7 linked regions of the Kluyveromyces lactis genome follow. The protein of the gene in region 3 interacts with the protein of the main gene of each other region in a pairwise test. Links are inferred from orthologs where the notes say so. Each region holds a gene or a part of one and is shown on either strand. Other genes may lie near its edges. The genes, in order: NOP4, SPB1, NOC2, DBP10, RRS1, MAK16 and MAK21.

Region 1 (3,815 bases), on a different chromosome or scaffold from region 3:
GTTCTATTAGTGGAGATGGCTCTAGTGCATCCTTGCCCGAATATACGGACCAAATCCCATACCCTGTAGTATTTACAGACGGCAGCCCTAGAGAAAGGTTTAATTCGTGTAATGACGTGGTTGGTTTCCTGCTAATTCTTTCCAACCTGATTGTCTTGGAATGTAGCTTTGAGAATGCCAGTAATATAAGTTGTGAGTGAGTATCAGACTGCAACGAGTGGAAGATAATCGAGTGTCCCGGCATAATAGCAAAGTAGAACGGTTTGTGTGTATTGATAATAAGGTCGCCAGTTGATTCGAACAACTGAACTCGGCATATGTACATACTTAAATCATCGTTTTCCTCAATGTTAACATCCAATTCGTAAAGTCGTTTAAACTGTTCGCGCATACCATTGATAAGCTCATTCGGCTCCACATTTACGATAAATTGCTTTCCATCTCTATCCAAACATCTGGACGCTACCCATTGGTTAGTTGAAGTGTCACATAAAACAGACCAGATATCCAGTTGTGATAACTGTTCTCGAGATAAAGAAGGCCACCAACTCGTGACAGCCATATTAGCAATATTCCGTACCCCATGTTTTTTCACCAATTCAACTAAATTATCCGAGACCAGCTGTGAATCATTAATGGCATGTGTATCAAGCCAGGTAGTGATCAGTTTCACTATTGCCTGTGCACCGAGCCTAGCAAGTTTATTCTTTGTAACTGTAATATCTACATTATTATTGTCATTTCGAAGCGTGCGTTCCATCTTGGCCGTCCCAATAATATGCTGTTCACCGTCCATATAACACCATCATAAAAAGAACATAAGGATTAAGGGTCATCAAACCTTTCCATAGTTTCAGATTATAGTCGATGTTAAAATTCCATGCATTTTATATAGTATTGATTCTGACAAGAAAGTGAGAACAATCAACTAAATTGGTCTAACTGTCGTATAAGATTGACAGAATATCTTCATAGAACCAGGAAAGTTGTATTGCATCGGAGAACAGAGGTATTGAACAGCCGTATATGCCAGGAATATCCACACGTGATCTGTTCATCTCTTTAAATCTTACAGCTTTTCAGTCCGCTTGATTTCTTTTTGTCAAAAAATTTTAAAGCTCATCTCATCTCATCGCCCAAGAACCATTAGTATTGATATCTAGTATATATATAGTAGAAGGTTAATGAACACATTTATATACTTATTTTGTTAGCGTCTACATCAAACGACGCAGATTTGTGCTTAATATATCTGTGATGAGTGATAAGAAAGTTATTAAGGATGAAGGTCTTGATCTGAAGACGTTATTTGTTCGTGGTGTGCCGTTTGAGTCTACCGATGAAGAATTCGGTAACTTCTTCTCCCAATTCTCTCCTATCAAGCATGCTGTTATTGTCAAAGATGGTGAGGGTGCAAGCAGAGGATTTGGTTTTGTTAGTTTTGCAGTTGAAGATGATACTAAGACTGCTTTGAATCAGGCTAGAAAGACGAAGTTTATGGGACGTTTGTTGAGAATCGATATTGCCAAAAGAAGAGAACGTTCCCGTGGTAAAAAGGATGCGGATGAGGTATCATCAGCACCTTCCGTAGATAATGTTAAAGATGAGGAGGAAAGCAAACCCGAAGATGATAATGATTTAATGAAGGGTAAACCGAAATTAATTATCAGAAATATGCCATGGTCCTGTCGTGATCCGACGAAACTGAAGAAAATCTTCGGATTGTACGGTACCGTTGTTGAAGCTACGATCCCAAGGAAGAGAGACGGTAGATTATGTGGGTTTGCTTTTGTTACAATGAACAGGATCTCTAACTGTAAGGCTGCTATAGAAGGCACTAAGGATTTGAAGATCGATGGCAGGAAAGTGGCTGTTGATTTTGCAATTCAAAAGAACAGATGGGAGGACTATAAGAACGAACATAAGGAACTGGAAGCGTCTGATGAAGATGAGGAAGAAGAAGAAGAAGATGATGATGATGATGAGGATGATGGTTCTGATTCGGGTGAAGAGGACGCTGACAATCAGGACGACAAAGAAAAAGAAGAAAAAAGTGACATCGTCTTGGATTCTGATGAAGAAATCAGCGAAGAGGAGGAAACACCAGAACAGGATACCGTAAAGAAGAACAGAAAGGAAGATTTCTCTATTTTTGTGCGTAATGTTCCATACGATGCCACTCAAGAATCCTTAGAACGTCATTTCGGCGTGTTCGGCCCAGTAAAATACGCTTTGCCAGTGATTGATAAAGAAACTGGTTTGGCGAAGGGTACTGCTTTCGTTGCATTCAGAAGCGAAGATGCTTACAACGACTGTCTAAATAATGCTCCTGCTACAGGAAGTACATCCCTTCTAATAAGTGATGATGTTTCCCCAGAGTATGTTTATGAGGGTCGTGTTCTTGCAATTTCTCCAACTCTTGATAGAGAATCTGCTGGAAGAATGTTTGAGAGAAATGCCGAGAAGAGAAAAGAAGTTCTTGGTAAGGCACCAGGTGAAAAGGACAGACGTAATCTATATTTGTTAAATGAAGGTAGAATTGTTGCAGGTTCAAAGCTTTCACAGTTGTTAACTCCTGCTGATATGGAAGTCAGAGAAAAATCTTACAAGTTAAGAGTCGAACAATTGAAGAAGAATCCAACGTTACATCTTTCGATGACTAGATTGGCTATCAGAAATATTCCAAGAGCAATGACTGAGAAGGGTCTAAAGGCGCTAGCTCGTAAAGCTGTAGTAGAGTTCGCCAAAGAAGTTAACGAAAACAAGAGACACGCATTGAATAAAGAAGAAATCGTCAGATCTACTAAGGAAAAGTACAAGTTCATGTCTGAAGAAGAAATCGAAGCTCAAAAGAAGAAGGACAAGAAACAAGGTATTGTTAGACAATCTAAAATTATCATGGAAATTAAAGGATCTAGCGGTGGTAGAAGTAGAGGGTATGGTTTTGTTGAATTCAGGGATCATAAAGCTGCGCTAATGTGTCTAAGATGGTTAAATGCTCATGAAGTCAGTAGGGACGAAATCTTAGAAGGACTTACGGATGATGAAAAGAAACAGCTTGATGCAGACAGTTTCAAAAAAAGAAGACTGGTGGTCGAATTTGCTATCGAAAACGCTAACGTTGTGAAGAGAAGAAGAGAAAAGGTCAAAGAATCTAGATTGATATCTTTCAAGAGAAAAAGAGATGATGAAGAGAATAAAGAAGAAGAAAAAGTGGCTCAACCAGTAGAAGAGGAAACAAAATCTGGTCTAAGTAATAATATTAAACAGATTATTGGATCTAAACGTAGAAGAAAGAACAAGGGCCGTTCTTGAATGTAAACAATAGTCAAAGGCAAAAATTCAAAGCATTCCGAAGCAATGAAGTTTCTAGGATATAAAATCTGTATATTAAATAACATGCATTTCAATTATAGAATCATTTTCTCTTTTTCCGTGCTGATCCTCCGGTTGCAGTATTGCTTGTGGGGTTGTTTCCATTACCAGACACAGCAGCTGCAGCGGCAGCTGCCGCTGCTGCTGCCAAGATACGTTTGTTTACACCTAATCCGTTCATGTTCCCATTCTTATTATTATTGTTACCATGCATTGGTTGTTTTTGAGAGTGATTAGCTTGATTATTATCATTGCCGACATTCGTAATGTCGTTATCGTTTGTGTGAATGCGCCTTGGTGGGTATTTGTAGTTGAGACCCTCGAACACATTTTCACAGACAGGAGGGTCGCCGTTGGTGAAATAGACATGGTCTAAAGCGTCGATTGCATCGATTCTCTTGATAGGATCATACTGCAATAGACGGTAAAGAATGTCTAAA
Region 2 (4,081 bases), on a different chromosome or scaffold from region 3:
AAGGCCATTAAAATTGGGATAGCAAACAGTACGGCAAAGAACAAGAAGGTTTTGAGACCTCCCCCAACTTTCCTTGTTACATAGTAAGGAATACCACCGAGCAAGGAGAATAATAACCAATTGGAAAAGTGTCTGGAAGAAGGTCCCTCTGCAGGCAATGGAGCGTTCTTAATAGCTGGTGATGCTGTCGTTTTCACGCCATATTTGGAATTCACTGGTTCAGGAGTTTCCGCCGGAGGAGTCTCCTTAAACTGAATCGTTTCAAATGAATACTTACTCATCTTCCCGTGTATTCAACGCAGTGGATACTAGATTGATATCTTGCGCAATTGAATTAAACAATACTTTATGTACAAGTATCTCATACAACCATAAATTAATCAAGTAAGTAAGTACTTGAAAGGATTTTTGATTTTTGCAGTTTTATTTTGGAATGCTTTTCTTCTTCCTTTTTTCTCTGTCTGTAACGTGTATCGTTCTACTGGCTGGAATGTACAATACGCAGATATTCTGGCCAAATATAGTGATACTGAACCCGGATGAATTAGGCTATATATACACCTACGTATAAGCGGGAACCATTATGTTGTGTGATAATTGGATATAAGATTGCAGTTACTGCCAATGGACCGAGAGGGCCATAGAATGCATCTCTATTTCGAGAGGCGGTCATAAATTTATTTAGCCTATGGTATGATCAGCAGTAGCAATAGTAGTAACTACCCATACCTATAATCTTGCAGAAATATTATAAGCATCGGTACCCTTATAGCCTGAGAGCGTTGCATAATTATTTGTAAACGTTGGCAGTGCTAATGGTTGAAAAAAAACCGAAATCATATTCCTTATTTAAAACTGTGGAACGCTAAGGGCCCTCTATATAAGTCTTGTGTTGTTACAGTAATATCAATATCCATGATAACACGTCCAAACAGATTTTTTACTGCTCGTTATTTTAACAGTGGAAACCGTGCATAGCATCAAAGCTGGCAGTTCCTCCAGTACAGTGTCCGGTGTTTCCATACCTGGTACCGCGAGCATTCTTAACCCGAACACCGCATCCAAAATTATTTCTTTTTCAGATAATTTTTCATTATTTGTGAGAAGAGTGACAATTTTTTATTTGAGAAATTGGTCTAGCGATGAGATGAGATGAGATGAGATGAGAAGAGATTAGTTGAACGTTGAACAGGTTACAACTGTTGTTTATTTGCTTTCTGATATCCTGTTCTCTTTTAGACTTGAGTGAATAGGTCACCATACATTACCGAGAAGACCAAGATGGGTAAGAAGACGCAAAAGAAGAATTCCAAAGGTCGTTTAGATAAGTACTATTACCTTGCTAAGGAAAAGGGCTACAGAGCTCGTTCTTCCTTCAAAATCATTCAAATCAATGAAAAGTATGGACATTTTTTGGAGAAGTCGAAGGTCGTTATCGATTTATGTGCTGCACCAGGTTCCTGGTGTCAAGTGGCTTCCAACTTGTGTCCTGTTAACTCCTTGATTATTGGTGTCGATATTGTTCCGATGAAAACTATGCCAAACGTTATTACTTTCCAAAGTGATATCACAACGGAAGATTGTAGATCGAAATTAAGAGGGTACATGAAGACGTGGAAAGCCGACACCGTTTTACACGATGGTGCTCCAAATGTTGGTTTGAGTTGGGCTCAAGATGCCTTCACACAGTCTCATTTAACACTGCAAGCCTTAAAATTAGCCGTTGAAAATTTAGTAGTTGGTGGTACATTTGTAACGAAGATCTTCAGATCCAAAGATTACAACAAGCTAATTTGGGTATTTCAACAGCTCTTCGAAAAGGTGGAGGCAACCAAACCTCCTGCTTCCAGAAATGTTTCTGCGGAAATTTTCGTTGTCTGCAAAAATTTCAAGGCCCCTAAGAAGTTGGATCCAAGGCTATTAGACCCAAAGGAAGTCTTTGAAGAATTACCAGATGGTCCACAAAACATGGAAGCCAAGGTTTTTAATCCAGAAAAAAAGGTCAGAAAAAGAGGTGGTTACGAGGAAGGTGATTATTTGTTATACCATGAAACTGGTCTTATGGACTTTATGAAATCAGAAGACCCAATAACTATGCTTGGAGAATATAATAAATTCATCGTAGACGAAGAAGATCATGACTGGAAAATTGTGAAGAAATTAAAGCAAACCACCAAAGAATTCTTGGCATGTATCGAAGATTTAAAGGTTCTTGGTAGAAAAGATTTCAAGATGATCCTAAAATGGAGAAAAGCAGCTAGAGAACTTTTAGGCTTGGATGAAGAGGAAGAAAAACCAGAGATTGAGGAAACACCTTTGACAGAAGAAGAGCAGATTGAAAAAGAACTAAATACTCTACAGGAGAAACAAAGGTTGTCTGTTAAGCGTGAGAAGAGAAAGAAGAACGAAATGAAACAGAAGGAAATTGTTCGTATGCAATTAAATATGATCAATCCAGTAGACATTGGTATCGAAGCTGCAGAGTTAGGTAGAGAATCAATTTTCAATTTGAAAACTGCAGAAAAAACGGGTATCCTTGATAAACTTGCCAAGGGTAAGAGAAGAATGATATTTGATCAAAATGAATTAGCCATAGATAACGATATCCACATTGATGAAAATGCGCCTCTGGATGATCGTGATGAGCTCGCTGAGGCTGATGAACTAGAATCCCAACTTGATGCCATGTACAGTAACTATAAGGAACGCAAGTCAGAAAGAGATGCAAAGTTTAGAGCTAAGCAAGCCCGTGAATCCAGTGAAGCGGACAACTGGAATGGATTCGAGGACAAACAAAGTGATGAAGAGAACGAAGAAGAAACTAAGGATTATGTTGACGACGATGACAACTCGGATCTTTCAGACTCTGACGATGATGAAGCTATCAATCAGTTGATAGCAAAATTGAAAAGTAGAGAAAACAGCAGCAAGTTAAGTTCTAAAGCTCGCGCGCTATTTTCCGATTCTTTATTCGAGGGAGTTGAACCAGATTTACCTGGTAAGGCGGATCTTGCGGATTCAGAGTCTGTGGGTGATGTCAAACAACTAACAAAGAAAAGAAAATTGAATCCACTTCCTGCAGAGCAGATTTCTGAAGCCGAATCTTCCGACGAAGATAGTGATTTCGAAATCGTCGCAAACAACGAAGATGGCGATGTAGACTCTGAGTATGATTCCGAAGAAGAGGCAAAGAGGACAAAACAAGAGAAACATTCCAAAGACATTGATATTGCGACCGTTGAAGCTATGACTCTAGCTCATCAATTGGCATTAGGTCACAAAACGAAACATGATTTAATCGAAGAGGGTTTCAATAGATATTCTTTCCGTGATATGGAAAACCTGCCCGAATGGTTCGTTGAAGAAGAAAAACAACATTCCAAAATTAATAAGCCTATCACCAAAGAAGCAGCCATGGCAATAAAGGATAAACTGAAGGCTCTAAATGCCAGACCCATCAAAAAAGTTGCTGAAGCTAAAGCCAGGAAGAAGCACCGTGCTGTTGCTCGTTTAGAAAAGTTGAAGAAGAAGGCTGGTCTAATTAATGATGACAGCGATAAATCTGAAAAGGACAAGGCTGAAGAAATTGCAAAATTGATGAGAAAGGTTACCAAGAAAGCAAAGCAAAAACCGAAGGTCACAGTTGTGGTTGCAAGTGGTAAGAATAGAGGTCTTTCCGGCAGGCCTAAGGGTGTTAAGGGTAAATATAAGATGGTTGACGGTGTTTTAAAGAACGAACAAAGGGCTTTGAAACGTATCGCTAAAAAGCATCACAAAAAATAAGGAATGCTAATCATATCACTTAATCCGTGAAATGGAATTGTACATTATATTTAGTCGTAGATAGAATATTGAATAAGATCAACCTACTTCAAAAAAGTTTTCTGATCAAATACAAAACAGAAAAGAGCACCAATCCCAAGGTAAACAGCTGAATACATAAGTTATCAGATGAGTCTAGTTTCGGAAGGTTAATTGTCATTTTAGTAGAATTTAGATAGTAAAATTTGGTGTTGTCAGTGAAAAAGTGTTCATATCCGATTTTTCCAGTATAGAAGGGTGACCGTTTCGTAAGTTCAAT
Region 3 (4,020 bases):
AAGTTTGCATTATTTTCACTGCCCTTTTCAAAGCAAACTCTTTCTTCGTAAGATCTCGTATTTGTCGATCAAGATCGTTCTCTAACCTCCGGATCTCCTTTAAAAGTAACACACTACCCGTAGATCTTTCTTCAGGGTTTCTGCAAGATAACTTGGGCAAGATATCACTAAATGAATCATTCTCTTGAACTAAGGTTGTTTCACTATCACCTTCAAAATTCATGACATTCGACATAACGCCTGTAATGAGTACTGGTATAAGAATTATTCCACTTGGTCAAGTTATGCCTACCGCAGATTGTACTCCCGAGCTTTGTATTCTGAATGTAATGTTGAGTATACATGTTTAAAATAATTTACATAATGTAATTTCTATTTTCATGAAATTTACCGCCGATGTCTTTGACAAGGAGGCAATCCAATATAAGATGGTCGAAGACATAGGATTACCAATGAATTTAAAATTGAAGAAAGTTTGAACTTATCATACAATCATTTGATTATTCATCTGCTTCAGATTCAGCATCATCCATTACTATGTCTTGGGCTCCGTCAGAAATATTTTCTTCTTCTTCATCATCGTCAGATTCCAAGGATTCTCTTAAGAGTCTGGCCTTTTCTTCCTTAACCTCATTTTGGATAGCAACCCAGGAACCAAGAGGAGTATCTTTCCACGATATTTCATTTAAGAATTTTTCTACTTCTGTTCTGTTGTTTGGTCCGAAGTCTACATCTGATCTCTTCTTTGTAATGAATTGAGCGTTTTGGTTGATTTTATCTACCACGTTTTGCAACATCTTGTTAAACTTTACATTCTCAGAATTCTTGATATAACGACGTAATGAGATAACGGCAAGCGTTGTTAATTCTGGGAATGAAACGCTTCTGGAGTATAGAACAAAGTACTCACCTAGCAAATCTACAAATTGCTCAGCTAGCCCGTCTTGGTATATTTTTGTCCCCAAGTATGCTTGTGTACACTTGATGTTATGATCAAAGTCAAATGCAGGTAACGTTGACTTTCTAGGTTTCTTTGTGAATGCAGTAGAGGAGAGAATCTCAGATAATAATGGGTAAACTGGAATGAAGATACCAGTGTTTTGAGATAATCTGATCAAGGATCTGATCAAATAAAATCTCAATGGGAAAAATTGTGCTGTTGGAATCAATCTAATGACACCAATGGTAACTTGGACTAGTGGGTAAATCAATTGTCTAAGAGGGGATTCGTGGCCGTTTTCCTTTTCTGGGTTACATTGGATGGATATAACACGAGACCAGAAGTCCAAAGAGTGACAGAACTGCCAGTTATATACAATCTTGTAAGCACTTGATGGGTCCACCTTTGAGGACCTCTTAGTTGTGGCATTGATACTGTTTCTCAAGTGAATGGCTAGTTGTCTGATATATTCGAAACCCGATTGATAACTTATAACGTCATCAATACCGAAAAGTTCAGCAGCAGAGTTCTTTTGGAAATTGATTAGAGGCATGTTTCTGATGTTAGTTTTACGACAACTTTTAATGAAAGTAGAATACGTGGACTTCAATACAACTTCTAATAAAGCTTTCTTATATTCACGAGAGGCATTGTTCAAAAACGCGAATGTGGCAATTTGAGTTTCAACGTCTCCAGTAGTGGACCAAACTTCGACGACTTGAGAAATTAATTCTTTTAGTAATCTTCTAAATGAAATAAAGTATGGTAATAGCTCATAGGTAGAATGCAAAATCATTGAAGCGACGTCTGTGTTTGTGATGTCACTTAGGAGAACGATAAGAGATGGAACGTGCGATTTCAAAACAGAGGACAATTTTGTAACATTTTTATTTGATGGGAGAGTTCTGGTTTCATTCTTACTGACCCTATAAGGTGTCAATTTTTGGACGGCTTTTGGCATATCCACAAGGGCAACGAACATTAACTCGTGGAAGGCTTTTTCATCAAGAACTGTGAACTTGTAATCGTCTACATTTTCCTCGTTGTTCATGTTCACAGCAGCTTTAAAAGCTGAAACCACACTTCTGATAGTTTTGAAAGATGGGCTATTTTTTAAATCCTTCTTCCATTTATTTACGAGCTTTATGTCGACGGCAATTTTGCTATCTTTTTCCTCCTTCTTGGACTTTGATAAATCAGGTTCTTTCAGTTCTTCTTCTTCACCCACTTGCCCTTCTTCGTCATCTGATATTTCATCTAGAGGATTGGTAGATTTGAAAGACAAAAGATCTGGTTCGTTCTCTGCCAAATATTTGTAGAAATCAGGATCCTTCTTTGCCAAATCTTCCATATCCATTTTAACATCTTCATCTTCTTCGGCAGAAGACTCTGAATCATTATCTTTCACCTTTGATGCTTTTTCGGTTTCTTTAGCCATTTTCTTTGACATTTTTGGAATATCGAACCCATTGTCGAAGAACTCTTCAACCTTCATGTCGTTGAAGACTTCTTCCTTAGCGGACTTCTTCAACTTTTGATCTTCTTTGGTCAACGCAGCTGCATTCTTTTCTTCTTCTGTCTTATTACCCCTACGACCGGCGGTTCTCTTAGAATGATCTTTTAACTTCTTTCTATGGTCCAACGTATGCTTCAAGTGTTTCGTCTGAAACTTTTTAGTAGCTTTTGAAACTTTACCCATTGTGTAATTCTTGATCCCTTTATCAATAGGTAACAGGTCCCAAGATTATGCCTTTGATCAACAATATGATTTCAAGAAGATTATCTAGAGCGACTACTGGTTAAGTTGTTAGAGCTGCGTTAAAGTTTCTCTATATCTCTTCTTGGGGCATCTCATCTCATCTCATCTCATCTCATCTCATCGGATTGAATTTTGGTTTGGATATTTGGAAAACTTTTCATGGCGTTTCTTTTTGTATCCGGGTAATGGCATCGCCTTGACATCGATGAATAGTGCAAGTAATATGGTAATTGACATGCTTGGAAAGGTATCGACAAAAGATGCAACAAACTGCAAACAGAATGTCGAGAGATGCAACAGTTTTGAGCCGTTATTGATAAGAGTACTGAGGTATATGCATCAGAAAATAGTAGTAGTATTACCTTTTATGAAATCACGGCTCCAAGCTTTTAAGCAGTTTACTCGGTTTGTATCATGCAAAAGCTGTGGTGTTGAGTTGCAATCCAAGAATCCTTCTGTGACAGGCTACTATAAGCCTCCTCGCGCTGTCAGGAAAGATGCTGGCACCATTGAAGATTTGAAGTATTTAATGTTCACACAAGAACTTCAGCTAAAAAAACATGAAATCGGGCTACTTGATCCAGACACCGATCCAGATTATAAAGAACCTATTCCCAAAAGATTGGTTTGTAAAAGATGTGTCGATGCTATAAGTCATAACAGGTACAACTCATCTGATTTTCCAATTCATTCTTTCAACGATATAAAGGGCGCTTTGCCGCATGCTGCAAACGTATACCACGTTGTGTCTTTGTCTGACTTTCCCTTGTCATTAGACAAAACTATCCTGGCAGAAAAGAATAATAGAAACTATTTACTACTTTCAAAGGCTGATCAGATCACATACAAGTCATCAATGCTACCACATAAAGGGAGTGCTTTTTTTGCGGAATTTTGTAGACGTCATATAGGCGTACATGTTAAGAAAGTAGTATTGTTCTCTAACCCAAGAAATTGGAATATTCCATCAGTGATAAATGCTTTGGCTAAAAGATGCTATTTATTGGGTAATCCTAACGTTGGGAAAACGTCTCTCATTAATTCTTTGCTCCATGAAAAATCAACAAGTTTCCAAGCTCAACTTGATAAGAGAGGCAACGTTATTGGTCCTCCAAAAGGCCACGAACAAATACAAAGTACTCGCCGTAGGGCCATCTTCAATGAAGGTGGAGTATCACATATTCCCAACTTTACCAGAACCATGCAAACTTATTTGATAGAAGATAAAGTTGTGAACGATTTACCAGGGTATACAATGGATCCTACTAAAGTATCCGATCTAGCGAATTATATCGAGAAGGAAACGCTTGATAACATAAGG
Region 4 (4,112 bases), about 2.2 Mb from region 3:
GCTGTGAGTTGTTCACAAAACATATACCCTGAGAGTCGGGTTTTGTGGCAGTGTGTAAATCTACTTCTTTGGCCATCTCTCTAACTTCCGGTTTCGTCAAGTGACCAATTGGTAAAATCATTTGATTTAAAGAAGGAACAGAAACTTGTGATAAATAATAACTTTGATCCTTCTGTTGATACAATCCGCGCATCAAGTGTGGTTCAGATCTCTCTGGACCACTATCTCTTCGTAGTATTCGAGCATAATGTCCCATCACCAACCAGTAGTTGTTCTTACCGAACTTCACATCCAGATGATCCATCAACTTTCCGAATTTAACAAACTGATTGCAACCGATGTCAGGATTTGGTGTATAGCCCATACTATATTGTTCTAACATAGGCGCGAACACATTTAGCCAATAATCTTTCTCAAAATTCACAAACTCCACTGGGATGTTCAAATGTTTCGCTACTTTTTCTGCATCCTTCCATTCTTTCTCATAACATGGATCCTCCTCTGGTCTAGTCAATGATTGATCTTTGCCCCAATTTTGCATATATACTCCATGAACGTTCGGGTAAGCTGCGAATAATGCAGCACATACAGAAGAATCTACTCCACCAGACATTCCTACCACAATATTATCAAATTTAGATGGCATGGATTGGACATGATATCCAGGCAACCGTCTTTGTTTGCATAATTCTAAGAATCTTGAAGTGATTTTCGACATTATTCCTCGCAACTTCTGTCCGTCTGCTATATAAAGTGGTGCATCTCCTTCGGGACACTTTTATGGTGCTTTAACAAGATATAGCTGGTACTTATTTCAGTAAACCTTGAGAAGTTATAGTTGTGATCTTCATGTACTTTTTTTTGTCAGATACTGAATTGATTGGCTTGCATAGAAAAAAAAAAACCAAGATAATGTACAGAGGCGAAATTCAGGGAAACAAGTTGAAATAGTTATAGTAAAATTTTAGAGTATGACGTTCTATTTACTTGAGTTTGGTAATATTCGTGACACATAATGTTGAAGTTTTTGTTTTAGGTCACTTGATCTTCTTGGTTTCACACAAAGCGTCAGTTTGATGTTTAATTCTGTTTATGCCGGTCTTGAAAACTATTTCTTTTTCCTTATGAAAATTTTGAAAATACATCACTTTCCAAATAAGAGATGCGATGAGATGAGATGAGATGAGATAGTAACTCATTAATATCAGTAGTGCTAAATATTCTTTTATATCGTATTGATTATAAGGCCAATCATTGTTTGCCATAAATCAACTGTTAGATATCGAACTCAGGTTAATCAAATTTAACAGTAATGGTTGATTCTAGCAAAAGAGCTCTCCCAGCAGAAGATTACTCCTCCGAAGATGAGGATGCTTTCGACATTGCTGGTGATATTGCTTTAAATGCTGATAGTGAAGATAGTGACATTTCTGATGATGATAATGACAATATTGGTTTCCAAGCTGAAGTTCAAGATGTTATCGAGTTTTCTAGTGATGAGGAAGAGAAAGAGAAGAAACCAAAGAAACAAAACAAGAAAGCCAAAGTCAAGGCAGGTCCCATTGTGGACAGTAAGTTCCCAAGTCTTGAGCTTTCGGACGACGAAAAGAAGGCTACGAATGAATCGGATGATGACTTAAACGATTATTTCAACACTACCGCTGATGCTGCGGCTAAACATAAGAAAGGTTCGTTTGCAAGTTTCGGTCTCTCAAAACTAGTATTGATTAATATCTCGAAGAAAGGTTTCAGGCAACCTACACCAATTCAAAGGAAAACCATTCCCCTTATTTTACAAAAGCGTGATATTGTCGGTATGGCACGTACCGGTTCAGGTAAGACTGCTGCTTTTGTGCTTCCTATGATAGAAAAATTAAAGACCCATTCGGCCAAGATTGGTGTTAGAGCCGTTATTTTATCACCATCAAGAGAATTGGCCATTCAAACTCATAGAGTTTTCAAAGAGTTTTCGAAAGGCTCGGATTTACGTTCTATTTTGTTAACAGGTGGTGACTCTTTAGAAGACCAATTCGGTATGATGATGGGGAATCCTGACGTCGTCATTGCTACGCCAGGTAGATTCTTGCATTTAAAAGTTGAAATGAACTTGGATTTGAAATCAGTCGAATATGTTGTATTTGATGAAGCTGATAGATTATTCGAAATGGGTTTCCAGGAACAACTGAATGAACTGCTTGTGGCATTCCCAACTAATAGACAAACATTATTGTTTTCGGCAACATTGCCATCATCATTGGTTGATTTTGCTAAGGCAGGCTTGTCAAACCCAGTATTGGTTAGACTTGATGCTGAAACGAAGATATCAGAAAATTTGGAGATGTTATTTATATCTATAAAAAAGGATGAACGTGAAGCCAATCTATTATATCTGTTACAAGAAGCTATCAAGATGCCTGTTGCCACGGAGTCCCAAATAAAGAAGCTCAAACAGCAGAATGATGCGGATTCTGACAGTGATGACAGCGAAGATGAAAAGAAAAAGAAGGCAAAGAAGGCTAAAAAATCCAAAAGGCGCTTACCGAATGCGAACGAAATGCCATCCGAAAAGGCAACAATCGTTTTCGTTCCAACAAGACATCATGTCGAATACGTCACACAGTTATTGAAGAACTGTGGATACCTAGTATCATATATTTATGGTGCTTTGAATCAACATGCCCGTAAGCAACAGCTCTATAATTTTAGAGCTGGTTTAACATCTATCTTGGTTGTGACAGATGTGGCAGCCAGAGGTGTTGACATTCCTTTGTTAGCGAATGTGATTAATTACTCTTTGCCAGGTTCTTCAAAAATTTTCATTCATCGTGTAGGTAGAACGGCCAGAGCTGGTAATAGAGGTTGGGCCTTTTCGATTGTCTCTGAAAATGAACTACCTTATCTCTTGGATCTAGAATTATTCTTGGGTAAGAAGATCCTTTTAACACCCATGTATGAATCGTCGTGCCAGATACTCAGAAAGAAGGCAGAATCTGAGGGTAATAATAATTTCACCGATCCTAAGGTTTCTTACACCACAAGAATGGTCCTTGGTGCTTGTCCACGTTCTGAGATTGATGGTATGGGTGACCTTTATAGCAATATGATCAAATCTGACTTTGAGTTAAATACTGTGAAAGGTGTTGCCCTGAAAGCCGAAAAACTTTACTTTAGAACCAGGACACCAGCGTCTGCTGAATCCATGAAAAGGTCAAAGGAAATTCTCAGATCAGGATGGGACGAACAGAATATATACTTCGGTAAGAACGCCGAAAAAGAGAAATTGGATTTCTTAGCTAAGTTGCAACACAGAAATAACAAGGAAACTGTATTCGAGTTCGCAAGGAATCCAGACGATGAAATGTCTGTGTTAATGAAGAGAAGGAGGAGACAAATAGCTCCAATTCAAAGGAAGGCAAAAGAAAGACAAGAACTTCTGGAAAAAGAGAGAATGATTGGTTTGAGGCATAGTATAGAAGATGAAATTTTGAAAGGTGAAGACAACGAAGTTGGTTACTCAGTGCCTGATGAGGTATTGAAAGAATTTGAAGATGCCGATGTCTTGTTAGAAGAGCAAGAAAATATTAAGAAGAAGCAGAAGAAAACTTTCAGAGATCCAACTTTTTATCTATCACATTTCGCACCAACTAGTGACATTCAAGATAAACAATTACAGATATCATCTGGTTTCACAAATGATGCTTCCAATGCTGCATTTGATCTAGCCAACGATGACAAGGTACAAGTTCACAAGCAAACAGCTACGGTTAAGTGGGACAAGAAGCGTAAGAAATATGTGAACACTCAAGGTTTGGACAACAAAAAGTACATCATCGGAGAAAGTGGTCAAAAGATTCCTGCAAGTTTCAGATCCGGAAAATTCCAAGATTGGTCTAAGGCAAGAAAAATTGCTCCACTCAAAGTTGGTGCAAGAGAATCCACTATTCCATCGAATCTATTGGCTGATCCGACTTCTCCATCGGAGCGTACGGTTGGCGGTAAATTCAAACACAAGACTCAAAAAGCTCCTAAATTGCCTGATAAACATAGAGACGATTACGCTTTCCAAAAGAAAAAAGTGGAAGCTGCTTTGGAAAGAGGTGTTAGAGTTAAGG
Region 5 (2,488 bases), on a different chromosome or scaffold from region 3:
TGTTCGAGAACTTATGTTTATTTGGTGACAATTTGCTATCACCAGAACGGTCTGTTCAGATGAATGCGATATCAAAAGAATACATTAGTTATCTAAGGGATCTAAACGATGAACTAAATAATTCCGGACGTGCAAAGGAAAGCATTTTAGGAGAAGAAAATGCGGTGACTCAAGAAAAGGAGAATGACAACATTTCTTCAAAATCTGGATCCCGTGGAGGTTCACAAATTTCCAAATCATCTAGTTTTTATTCAGATATCCCATCATTTACAAGAGTAGAAGAAGAAGTACCACAAGGAGAACCAACAGGCGCGGTCCTCCACAATTCACATTTGAATAGCATCGAAGAAAAAGAAGAATCAAAGTTCAACTCATCGAATTCACTGAAGGACTGCATCAAAGAGTTCAACAACATATATGCCAACCTCCAAAAATGGGATAAAGCTCTGTGCAAGTTGGAATTAGCTAAAGTTTTGGATAGAACTCTGACTATCGCAATCACATGGAAAAATCTAATAGAGTTCGAACCGCCTAATGAAATGTTTCACTCTGGTGATAATGAAAGAACAATATATGGAACATATGTCGAGAAAATCGATAAACAACGTCAACAAGTGATGATCTTACAACTCCAAGATCTCCGCAGGAAAGTTATTAAACCTTTGCAACACCTACTACAACGATTTGCTACCGTGAAGCAAAAGCTGGCAGACAGAAATTCACTGAAGAAAGAGTACATGGCATATCTGCGACAACGCGACACTGAAACCCACGACGCCAAAAAACAAATCCTCGCAAATAGCTTCCAAGATTTACAACATCAACTAGCGGAGTCTTTGCCCATATTCAACGAGTATGCCAGAGAAGCAATCACACTACTCGTGTCTCAGTACACCTTACTGATGATGGAGTACATGCAAATCATATCTGGCGGAGATCAGTTCCTCAACAAAGAATTGGAACTAGTCAATTCGGGACAGCGAGACCTGGGGGATAATTTTGACATTCTCCAGCTGTTCTGCTCTTCTAGGTACTATACGAGGCATGCAATAAGAGAGAACTGGACCTACCACGGTGATCCAAGAGCCAGTAAAGTTGTGAGAAGGTTATTTGAGTTGTGAAATAGATATACATGTTACCCGCACTTTTATTTCTTTTCTGCAATTTTTCACTTAAGAAAAATGCCAAAAAGCTTTACAACTGAGAGATGCCCGATGAGATGAGGTAAAGAAGCGAGAGGTTTGTCTGCTCTACTGTTTGGATACTTCTATATACATTATCTGATTTAAGTCGCCTTGTGTATAAAAGTTCCCTGTTTGATATTACACTCAGCTACTTCAGTTTACGACACACGGAGTATAGAAACCACAAGAATGTCTACAACAAAGTACAGCGAACGCCCAGTAACGGTTGAAAAGGCTATTCCAGTCACATACGATTTGGGTAACCTAGCAGTGTTTGACACAAACGTGTTGGATAGGAACGATTTTGATTCATCCAATGCTGCTCGTGAAAGTAACATAAAAGATTTGACCCGTGATAACGTGCAGTTGTTGATCAACCAGATTCTTTCTCTTCCTATCAGAGCTACCACAGAATCTGCAGGTGGATCCAGTGGACAATCCTCATCTATGACTTTAGTACAGTTACCAGAGCCAACAACAGAGCTACCAAGAGAAAAACCACTACCTAAGCCTAAGGCACCAACTAAATGGGAACAATTTGCTGCCAAGAAGGGTATCAAGCCAAAGGAAAGATCCGGGAAGATGATTTACGACGAGGCAGCTGGTGAATGGGTTCCAAAATGGGGTTACAAAGGTTCCAACAAAGAACTTGACGACCAATGGTTGGTCGAGGTGGACGACAAGGTCCAGGGTACCGAAGACGAGTTGATTGACCCAAGAACTTTGAACAGAGCCGAAAGAAAGAGATTGATAAAGAAGAACCAGTTGCAACAGAAAAGAAACTTGAAGAACCAAGTGAAATAAACGTTACATACTATATAACTGCATTACACACCTTACACTAGGTTACATAAACTGTATAATAGACCAACTTACTCTTTCTCGTATTGACCATTTCACTGCCGTTATCAGGTTCAAAGCCCTCCTACAGCCGGTATTTTTGCGTATACAAAATTTCAACATTATACTTTAAACAAAGTCAGAGCCTCAAAGAATGAGAGAATGAATGGGAATATTATTTGCACAGGGTGCCGGCAGATCACCAGGATCGGAAATGAGTGATCTCAAGAGATATGTTCCTATGATAGATGTACGTTTCCCCCTTTCTTTTTTATCAAGCGAATCGTTTTCGAGCAAGATACTAACTACTTCAAACTATCACATTGATGTGAATATCCATACCAGGCCATCTTAAGCGTGTCAAACCCAGAGGAAGTAAGTGCCAAGAGAATACGGAAAGCGTTACAGGAGTTATTTTCGGTAGATTTGAATTCTCACAAGCATGATTTGAAAGAACTGATCAT
Region 6 (2,708 bases), on a different chromosome or scaffold from region 3:
TGCACCAGATTGGAAAATACTGATGAACAAATTCGTAATTTGTTAAACCAGTACACATTAACTGATTCAAGGCTTAAAATAGACAATTTAGAGCAACATATCCCGTTCATTCTGATGTATGATTCTAAATCTGTGGCAAACCAATTGACCTTGATTGAAAAGGAAATTCTATCTGAAGTTGATTGGAAAGATCTATTGGATTTGACAATGAGTGAACAACTTCCACAATTTACCAGTTGGCTGCAATTATTGGTACAGAACGAAAACTTGTCGGGTATCGATTTAGCCATAGCAAGGTTCAACTTGACCGTGGATTGGATCATTTCTGAAATCGTAATGACTCAGGACATAAGGTTGAGAAGGAACACGATCCAAAGATTCATTCACATAGCCGAACACTGTAAAGAGTTACAAAATTACAATACTTTGATGGAAATCATCCTTGCATTAAACTCCATTGTCGTTCAGAAATTCACTGAAACATGGAGACTTGTCGAACCAGGCGATCTATTGACTTGGGAAACGTTGAAGGCCATACCATCCCTGGAAAAGAATTACAGTAACATTAGACAATTAATAGACGAAGTCGAACCACTTTCTGGATGCATTCCATTTATCGTGGTATACTTATCGGATCTATCTTTAAACATTGAGAAACGTACCTGGATTGTACATGACGAAGTGCTAAATTACAACAAATTCCAAACAAATGTTCAAATAGTGAAAAACTTCGTACAGAAGATGCAATGGTCCAAATTTTACAACATTGATATTGACCATGAGTTGTTAAGCAAGTGTGTTTACATCACATCATTGTCCCATGACGAAATCAATTCAATTTCACATAAATCCCCAATTTAATTCTTTAATGTCGAGTAAAGTATTTGACATAGAACTAGTTAGTCTCAGTTCATTTCACCTCATATAATATATATATCAACACACGATTTTATCAGTTTCAAATAGTTTCATCCACATTTTTTTCGAACATATTTGAATGAAGGTTAATCTCTTTAGATCTAATCATGCATATTCCGACTCTTGATTAAGTTTCCGATTATAACAATAAAATATCATTGGTCATGTGACTAAAAATTTAGTAATCCATTTCTTTTTTCTCTTTCTGCCTGAAAATTTTTGAGAACTGAAAAATATCGATGCGATGCGATGAGATGAGATGAAATGAAAGAAGCAGCGACTAGCGGAATAGCAAGTAAACTTAGCGATAGTCATAACCAATTTAAATAAACTCATACTAAGCATAAACCAGTATCTGTAGGATTGACTGAACATTAGCAGATGTCTGACGAGATCATTTGGCAGGTTATCAACCAGCACTTTTGTGCGTACAAAGTCAAAACTGATAAGGGACAGAACTTCTGTAGAAATGAATACAACGTAACAGGTTTATGTTCGAGACAAGCGTGTCCTTTGGCAAATAGTAAATATGCCACTGTAAAGAACGTGGACGGAACACTTTACTTGTACATGAAGACCGCGGAAAGAGCTCACACGCCTGCTAAATTGTGGGAAAGAGTGAAACTATCTAAGAATTACACAAAGGCATTAGCACAGATCGATGAACATTTACTGTATTGGAACAAGTTCTTAATTCATAAGTGTAAGCAAAGGATGACAAAGCTTACACAAGTGATGATTACAGAGAGACGTTTGGCATTGAGAGAGGAGGAGAGACATTATGTCGGTATTGCTCCTAAGGTGAAAAGAAGAGAAGAGAACCGAGAACGTAAGGCATTATCAGCCGCTAAGATTGAAAAGGCTATCGAAAAAGAATTGCTTGAGAGATTGAAGAGTGGTGTGTATGGTGATAAGCCTTTGAATGTGGATGAAAAGATCTGGAAGAAGGTCATGGGACGTGTAGAAGACGAGGACTTGGATGAAGAAGAAAACGATTGGGATGAGGAAGAAGAAAGCGATGAGGGAGAAGTCGAATTCGTAGAAGATGAAGACGCTGAGGATGAGATGGTAGATATGGAAGATTTAGAAAAATGGCTCGGTGGTTCTGATACATCTGATTACAGCAGTGATGAGGACAGTGACGAAGACAGTAGCGACGAAGATAGCGATGAAGAAGAAAACCCATCTAAGAGACAAAAGAAATCTACACAAACCAGAAAGAGACATCCTAAGGTTGAAATCGAATATGAACAGGAACTAAATTCCAACCAACAAGAACTTGCACAATGATGCGTTTCTGAAAAACAGAGCTCGTCATGACCACATTTGTATACTATTAAATTTGACATATTATTATATTTATTGAAGATAAATTTCCAACTACGATAAAGAAGCAAAGGCAATAGTTAATAATTATATACACTTACAATAGCATCTCACCATCAATAGTATGTCCCCTTTCCCTTCATTTTGTTATACTGTACCCAAATAATGCATTCGAAATAGCAGTCACGTGGAAATATTGTTTCCATGCTGACAGTTTTTTCTTTGTAAATTATACCGGAAAATCCCATTAGGACACATTAAACAGAAAGATTCGTAAACCATTTGCACCATGAAACCCAAGTACTTTGAAAGGGAGATACAGAGCCAGAGAGGAGCGACACACCGATCAACCTGCTTTCCAATGAGTGGCTCAACTAAGCATGGCGACAGCGATGCGTTGTTTGATGTTGACTTTCTTGATGATAGCTACACCCCGGATTTACGGGATAGTCCAAGAAGGAACA
Region 7 (4,218 bases), on a different chromosome or scaffold from region 3:
TTTTTTTTGTTCTAATGATAGAAAAAAGCAGCATGAGATTCGAAGTAACTCTTCAATTTTTCATGGCATCGTATGCTCGGTCTCTCGTTCACACACCATCCATCCTTTCACTCCTTTCCCCGGTGTGTGTTTGTCGTCATCTACCTATATTGGATTTATGACTCTGTAATAGAAAAAGGCAAAGAAACGTCACAAAACATCATAGCATCGCTACAGCATTCGATGGAAAATCCAGAATTAGCTTGAACGGACAGCTTAAGAAGCTTTATCTTCCCCGTCAATTGCCATCATTGTTCCCATATCATAAGGATCAGCTTTATCATCTTATTACTTTTATCACGCCATTATTACCATTAGCACTCTATTTTTATTTTCATTTCAGTGAAATGATGATGAAAATCAGAAAAAACACAAAGACAAATGCCATTGCAGTTATTTTTTTATACGTTTCCTTTGTCCATTCATTAGGATACCAATTGTCATTGTCTTACGAATATATAGATATTCTTCGCTATCGCTACTTAGAAAGAAAATCTCGTTTGTCTTATTCAACTTTTGAAATGTACAAGTTTGAGTTATTTTTAGGCAGGTCAATGGGTTCGTATCTATGACCCTAATGTCCCTCTAAAACTACACCTTGTATTTCGAGGTAATCAACTCGACTTGAACCTCTTCTCTTGTATGCACAATGAAAAGAAGAAGAAGTATAGTAGAAGTATTCCTTTACCAAGAGTTGTTCTCAATACGTAACTTACCTTGTTCACCTCGAGCTGGTGCATCTGAAACCATGAGTTTCCAATCAATTCATGCAAATGCACGTCTATTTCTGCCCCAAGAATGTATATGTATGTGTGTCAATGCTTATTGATGCATGCACCATTGGCAACTAATGGCACCATTGGCTTCCACCATGCACGTCGTTTGTGCGGGTAATGGCGAGGTCCCAAAAAACATTCTTTAATTGGGATTGATTCCAGTAAAGAAATTCCAATGCAGAGAGGCGGATACTTGAGGGAAGTACATACATTGTGCAACTTTTGATTCAACTTACTTTCACGCTTTACCTACTCCTGAGCATGTCCATTGGCTCGTAACGCTCTCGGCAAACCATGTGACAAGCAGATTCCCCGCTTCTTGGTCTCACTACTACATAGAATGCTTTTGTAAATACTAAACGAGAGAGACAAACTCATTACCCGGATAATCGTTAATCACGTGATGAAAAGAAACGACAAAAATTTTCTACCTTTACACCAAAATCAAGCTCATCTCATCTCATCTCATCTCATCTCATCTCAACTCTTATTATGCGCTCAGACTGTGTTTGTTGATATACACAGAGGCCACTTCTCTGTTTGTCGTTTGATTGATCTATTGCTTGGAAAGAAGCAACACTCGATAACAAGTGCAAATCTGGAATGAGTCTTGATTTATCCAAATTGAAGGAGAAAGTGTCCTCCAAATTGGGAGCTTCAAAGGCCAAAGACACTAAGCCTAAGAAGAGTAAGAAGCAGGGCGAAAAAGAGACAGACGTTACTCCAGCTAAAGAGGAAACTGCTGTCACCAATGAAGAATTGATCCGTGAAGCTCTGTCTCTTGGAGCCTCTGAAAAAGATGTCCAGCTTGTTGATGGTGTTGACGACGATGCCAGTGAGATTGAATTCAATGAAGCCGATGAAGAAGTTGATGACGAGTTTAAGAGCGATTTCAGTGCTTTATTGAAGAATATGGGATTCGATAAACTACCTGAACCTGAAGTTGTAGAAGAACCAACAGTTACTGAGGATGCAGGCAAAGAAGAGAAAGATATTGAAGAGGAGGAGGTAGAAGTTGAAGAAGAAGAAGAAGAAGAGACGGTAGAGAAAGAGGAGGAACCACTTAGTCCTAAACCAGCAGAAAAAAAAAAGGAAGATCAATCCGACATGATCACTCAAACTCATATTGTTCAAAGTGATAAATTACTTGTTCCATCAGATTTGTTGTGGTACGAAGTTCCTTTGGACCCTGAATTAACAAGAGAACAGGATCCGCTAACGAAAGAACAGATAGATAAGTTATACCAGCGTGGTAAAGAGGCCTTAGAATTAGATAACACTAATTACTACGAAGAATTTACCAAGAACTCATCTCAACGTAAGTTTATGTCCCAGATCTTAAGCGATGGTACGTTGAACGATAAAATTAGTGCTTTGACTTTATTGCTACAGGAATCTCCATTGCATAATATCAAATCTCTTGATTCTTTGATATCCTTTTGCGGGAAGAAGTCAAGAAATTCCGCATTACAAGCTTTGAATGCTCTGAAGGATTTGTTCTTAAATGGTCTGTTACCTGACCGCAAGTTAAAATACTTCAAGAACCAAAACCTTTCCATGCTACTGAATAAGAGAACTTTAGCTATTTTATATTTTGAGGATTACTTGAAGGGTCTATATTTCAAGATTTTGGAAATCTTTGAGAAATTATCCCATGATCCTATCATCTATGTCAGAATGCAAGTGCTAACACATATCTTTGACCTGCTAACAGCCAAACCAGAACAGGAATTCAACTTGTTGAAACTTGGTGTTAACAAATTAGGTGACATTGATAACAAAGTAGCGTCAAAGGCTTCCTTCAAACTTTTGAAACTTGAAACTCAACATCCAAATATGAAATCAATTGTGGTAGACGCTGTTGTCGATATTGCCATAAGGCCTCAAGCTGACTATCATACTACATACTATTCCGCATTGACACTTAATCAAACAATTTTGAAACGCTCCGAGAAGAATCTAGCAAATCAGCTAATCAAGACCTATTTCACTTTATTCGAGAAATTCTTAATCCAAACTGATGCTGATAACGAGGAATCAAAGAGTGAAATCAAGGAATCCGATAAGTCATATGAAAAGAAGAGAAAGAAGAACTTCAAGAAGGGTAAAAAGGGTGGTAAGTCTGTCATTGAAGAAAAAAGTGCTCAAGAAGTTATCGAGGAAAAAAATACCAAATTATTCGGTGCTATTCTAACTGGTTTGAATCGTGCTTTCCCATTCTCTGATATGCCGGGATCCGTGTACGAGATACATCTTGATACATTGTTCAAGATAACACATGCGTCTAATTTCAACACTTCAATTCAAGCATTAGTATTGATTCACCAGGTTGTCGTGAAGACAAACATCACAAGTGATAGATATTACAAGACATTATACGAATCCCTACTCGACCCAAGATTGGTGTCGTCATCGAAGCAAGGTATTTACTTAAACTTGCTTTACAAATCTTTGAAAGATGATAAAGACATTGGAAGAGTGGATGCTTTCGTAAAACGTATATTGCAAGTCTGTGCCCATTGGTTGAACATCGGTGCCATTAGTGGTATGTTCTTTTTGTTGATACAACTTTCAAAGAGTTTACCGCAGATCAGAAATGTTCTAATCAACTCACCACTAGACTCTGTTTACGAATCTGATGACGAAGATTCCAGGGATAAAACTAAGGAAAAACCTGGTTACGATAGCCGTAAACGTGATCCAAAATATGCCAACGCTGAAAATTCATCGCTTTGGGAGATAAATCAATTCTTGTCCCATTTCCATCCTACTGTGCAGTCGTACGCACAAGGGTTCTTCGACGGTGACACTCAAGAAACAAGAGAGTTAGTCAAACCCGATCTTGGCCTATTCACGTTAGCCCATTTCTTGGATAGATTCGTGTACCGTAACGCCAAGCAAAAGCCAACCACTAGAGGTTCATCTATCATGCAACCTTTGGGAGGTGTACACACTGGTTCGTTATTAGTGAAGGCCAGCGATACCACATTGCACGAAGTACCTGCTAACACGGAGAACTGGTTAAGTAAGAAGGTGCAAGATATCAAGCCAGATGAAAAGTTCTTCTATCAATATTTCTCTACAAAGACTAATGCCATCAAATCTACCAAGTCAGGTGCAGAGGATGAAAACGGTACAGCTGAATTCGACGAGGAAAGCGATTTGGACGAAGATGAAATTTGGGATGCTTTAGTGAAGTCAAGACCTGACGTCGAAGGTGACGAAGAGGACAGCGATGTTGAGTTCAGTGAGGACGATTTCTCACAGGATGATTTCGGATCGTCATCCGAAGATGTCGATATTGATCTCAAAGACCTTGCATCTTCGGGAGACGAAGATGAGGCATCAGAAGCTGATCTTGAAGCTGAAGAAGGTGAACCAGAAGACATCAGTGACTTCGATC

Evidence for each region.
Region 1: the proteins of NOC2 (region 3) and NOP4 interact in binary tests that used the Saccharomyces cerevisiae proteins (3 or more experiments, as listed by UniProt). The link is inferred for Kluyveromyces lactis from reciprocal best matches to the Saccharomyces cerevisiae genes NOC2 and NOP4.
Region 2: the proteins of NOC2 (region 3) and SPB1 interact in binary tests that used the Saccharomyces cerevisiae proteins (3 or more experiments, as listed by UniProt). The link is inferred for Kluyveromyces lactis from reciprocal best matches to the Saccharomyces cerevisiae genes NOC2 and SPB1.
Region 4: the proteins of NOC2 (region 3) and DBP10 interact in binary tests that used the Saccharomyces cerevisiae proteins (3 or more experiments, as listed by UniProt). The link is inferred for Kluyveromyces lactis from reciprocal best matches to the Saccharomyces cerevisiae genes NOC2 and DBP10.
Region 5: the proteins of NOC2 (region 3) and RRS1 interact in binary tests that used the Saccharomyces cerevisiae proteins (3 or more experiments, as listed by UniProt). The link is inferred for Kluyveromyces lactis from reciprocal best matches to the Saccharomyces cerevisiae genes NOC2 and RRS1.
Region 6: the proteins of NOC2 (region 3) and MAK16 interact in binary tests that used the Saccharomyces cerevisiae proteins (3 or more experiments, as listed by UniProt). The link is inferred for Kluyveromyces lactis from reciprocal best matches to the Saccharomyces cerevisiae genes NOC2 and MAK16.
Region 7: the proteins of NOC2 (region 3) and MAK21 interact in binary tests that used the Saccharomyces cerevisiae proteins (3 or more experiments, as listed by UniProt). The link is inferred for Kluyveromyces lactis from reciprocal best matches to the Saccharomyces cerevisiae genes NOC2 and MAK21.

What each region holds. Positions count from the first base shown.
Region 1 is NC_006040.1:1,003,822-1,007,636, forward strand, and holds NOP4 (mRNA-binding ribosome biosynthesis protein NOP4), read left to right. Parts: upstream 1-1,257; coding exon 1,258-3,315; downstream 3,316-3,815. Other genes in the region: CHL4 (Chl4p), read right to left, coding at 1-796; cyclin-dependent serine/threonine protein kinase SSN3, read right to left, coding at 3,419-3,815. UniProt on the Saccharomyces cerevisiae protein: Required for 60S ribosomal subunit synthesis. Probably involved in the processing of 27S rRNA to produce mature 25S rRNA.
Region 2 is NC_006039.1:51,907-55,987, forward strand, and holds SPB1 (27S pre-rRNA (guanosine2922-2'-O)-methyltransferase), read left to right. Parts: upstream 1-1,281; coding exon 1,282-3,783; downstream 3,784-4,081. Other genes in the region: KLLA0_C00715g (uncharacterized protein), read right to left, coding at 1-281; PBN1 (Pbn1p), read right to left, coding at 3,872-4,081. UniProt on the Saccharomyces cerevisiae protein: Required for proper assembly of pre-ribosomal particles during the biogenesis of the 60S ribosomal subunit. Specifically methylates the guanosine in position 2922 of the 25S rRNA at the stage of 27S pre-rRNA maturation.
Region 3 is NC_006042.1:102,265-106,284, forward strand, and holds NOC2 (mRNA-binding ribosome synthesis protein NOC2), read right to left. Parts: upstream 2,640-4,020; coding exon 501-2,639; downstream 1-500. Other genes in the region: MEI5 (Mei5p), read right to left, coding at 1-235; GEP3 (Gep3p), read left to right, coding at 2,905-4,020. UniProt on the Saccharomyces cerevisiae protein: Involved in the intranuclear transport of ribosomal precursors.
Region 4 is NC_006042.1:2,294,830-2,298,941, reverse strand, and holds the start of DBP10 (ATP-dependent RNA helicase DBP10), read left to right. Parts: upstream 1-1,312; coding exon 1,313-4,112. Other genes in the region: SLM3 (tRNA-5-taurinomethyluridine 2-sulfurtransferase), read right to left, coding at 1-718. UniProt on the Saccharomyces cerevisiae protein: ATP-binding RNA helicase involved in the biogenesis of 60S ribosomal subunits and is required for the normal formation of 25S and 5.8S rRNAs.
Region 5 is NC_006038.1:1,139,056-1,141,543, reverse strand, and holds RRS1 (ribosome biogenesis protein RRS1), read left to right. Parts: upstream 1-1,373; coding exon 1,374-1,988; downstream 1,989-2,488. Other genes in the region: FUS2 (Fus2p), read left to right, coding at 1-1,121. UniProt on the Saccharomyces cerevisiae protein: Required for ribosome biogenesis.
Region 6 is NC_006037.1:359,481-362,188, reverse strand, and holds MAK16 (ribosome biosynthesis protein MAK16), read left to right. Parts: upstream 1-1,299; coding exon 1,300-2,208; downstream 2,209-2,708. Other genes in the region: mitotic regulator LTE1, read left to right, coding at 1-861; aminophospholipid-translocating P4-type ATPase DRS2, read left to right, coding at 2,534-2,708.
Region 7 is NC_006041.1:1,108,069-1,112,286, reverse strand, and holds the start of MAK21 (RNA-binding ribosome biosynthesis protein MAK21), read left to right. Parts: upstream 1-1,418; coding exon 1,419-4,218.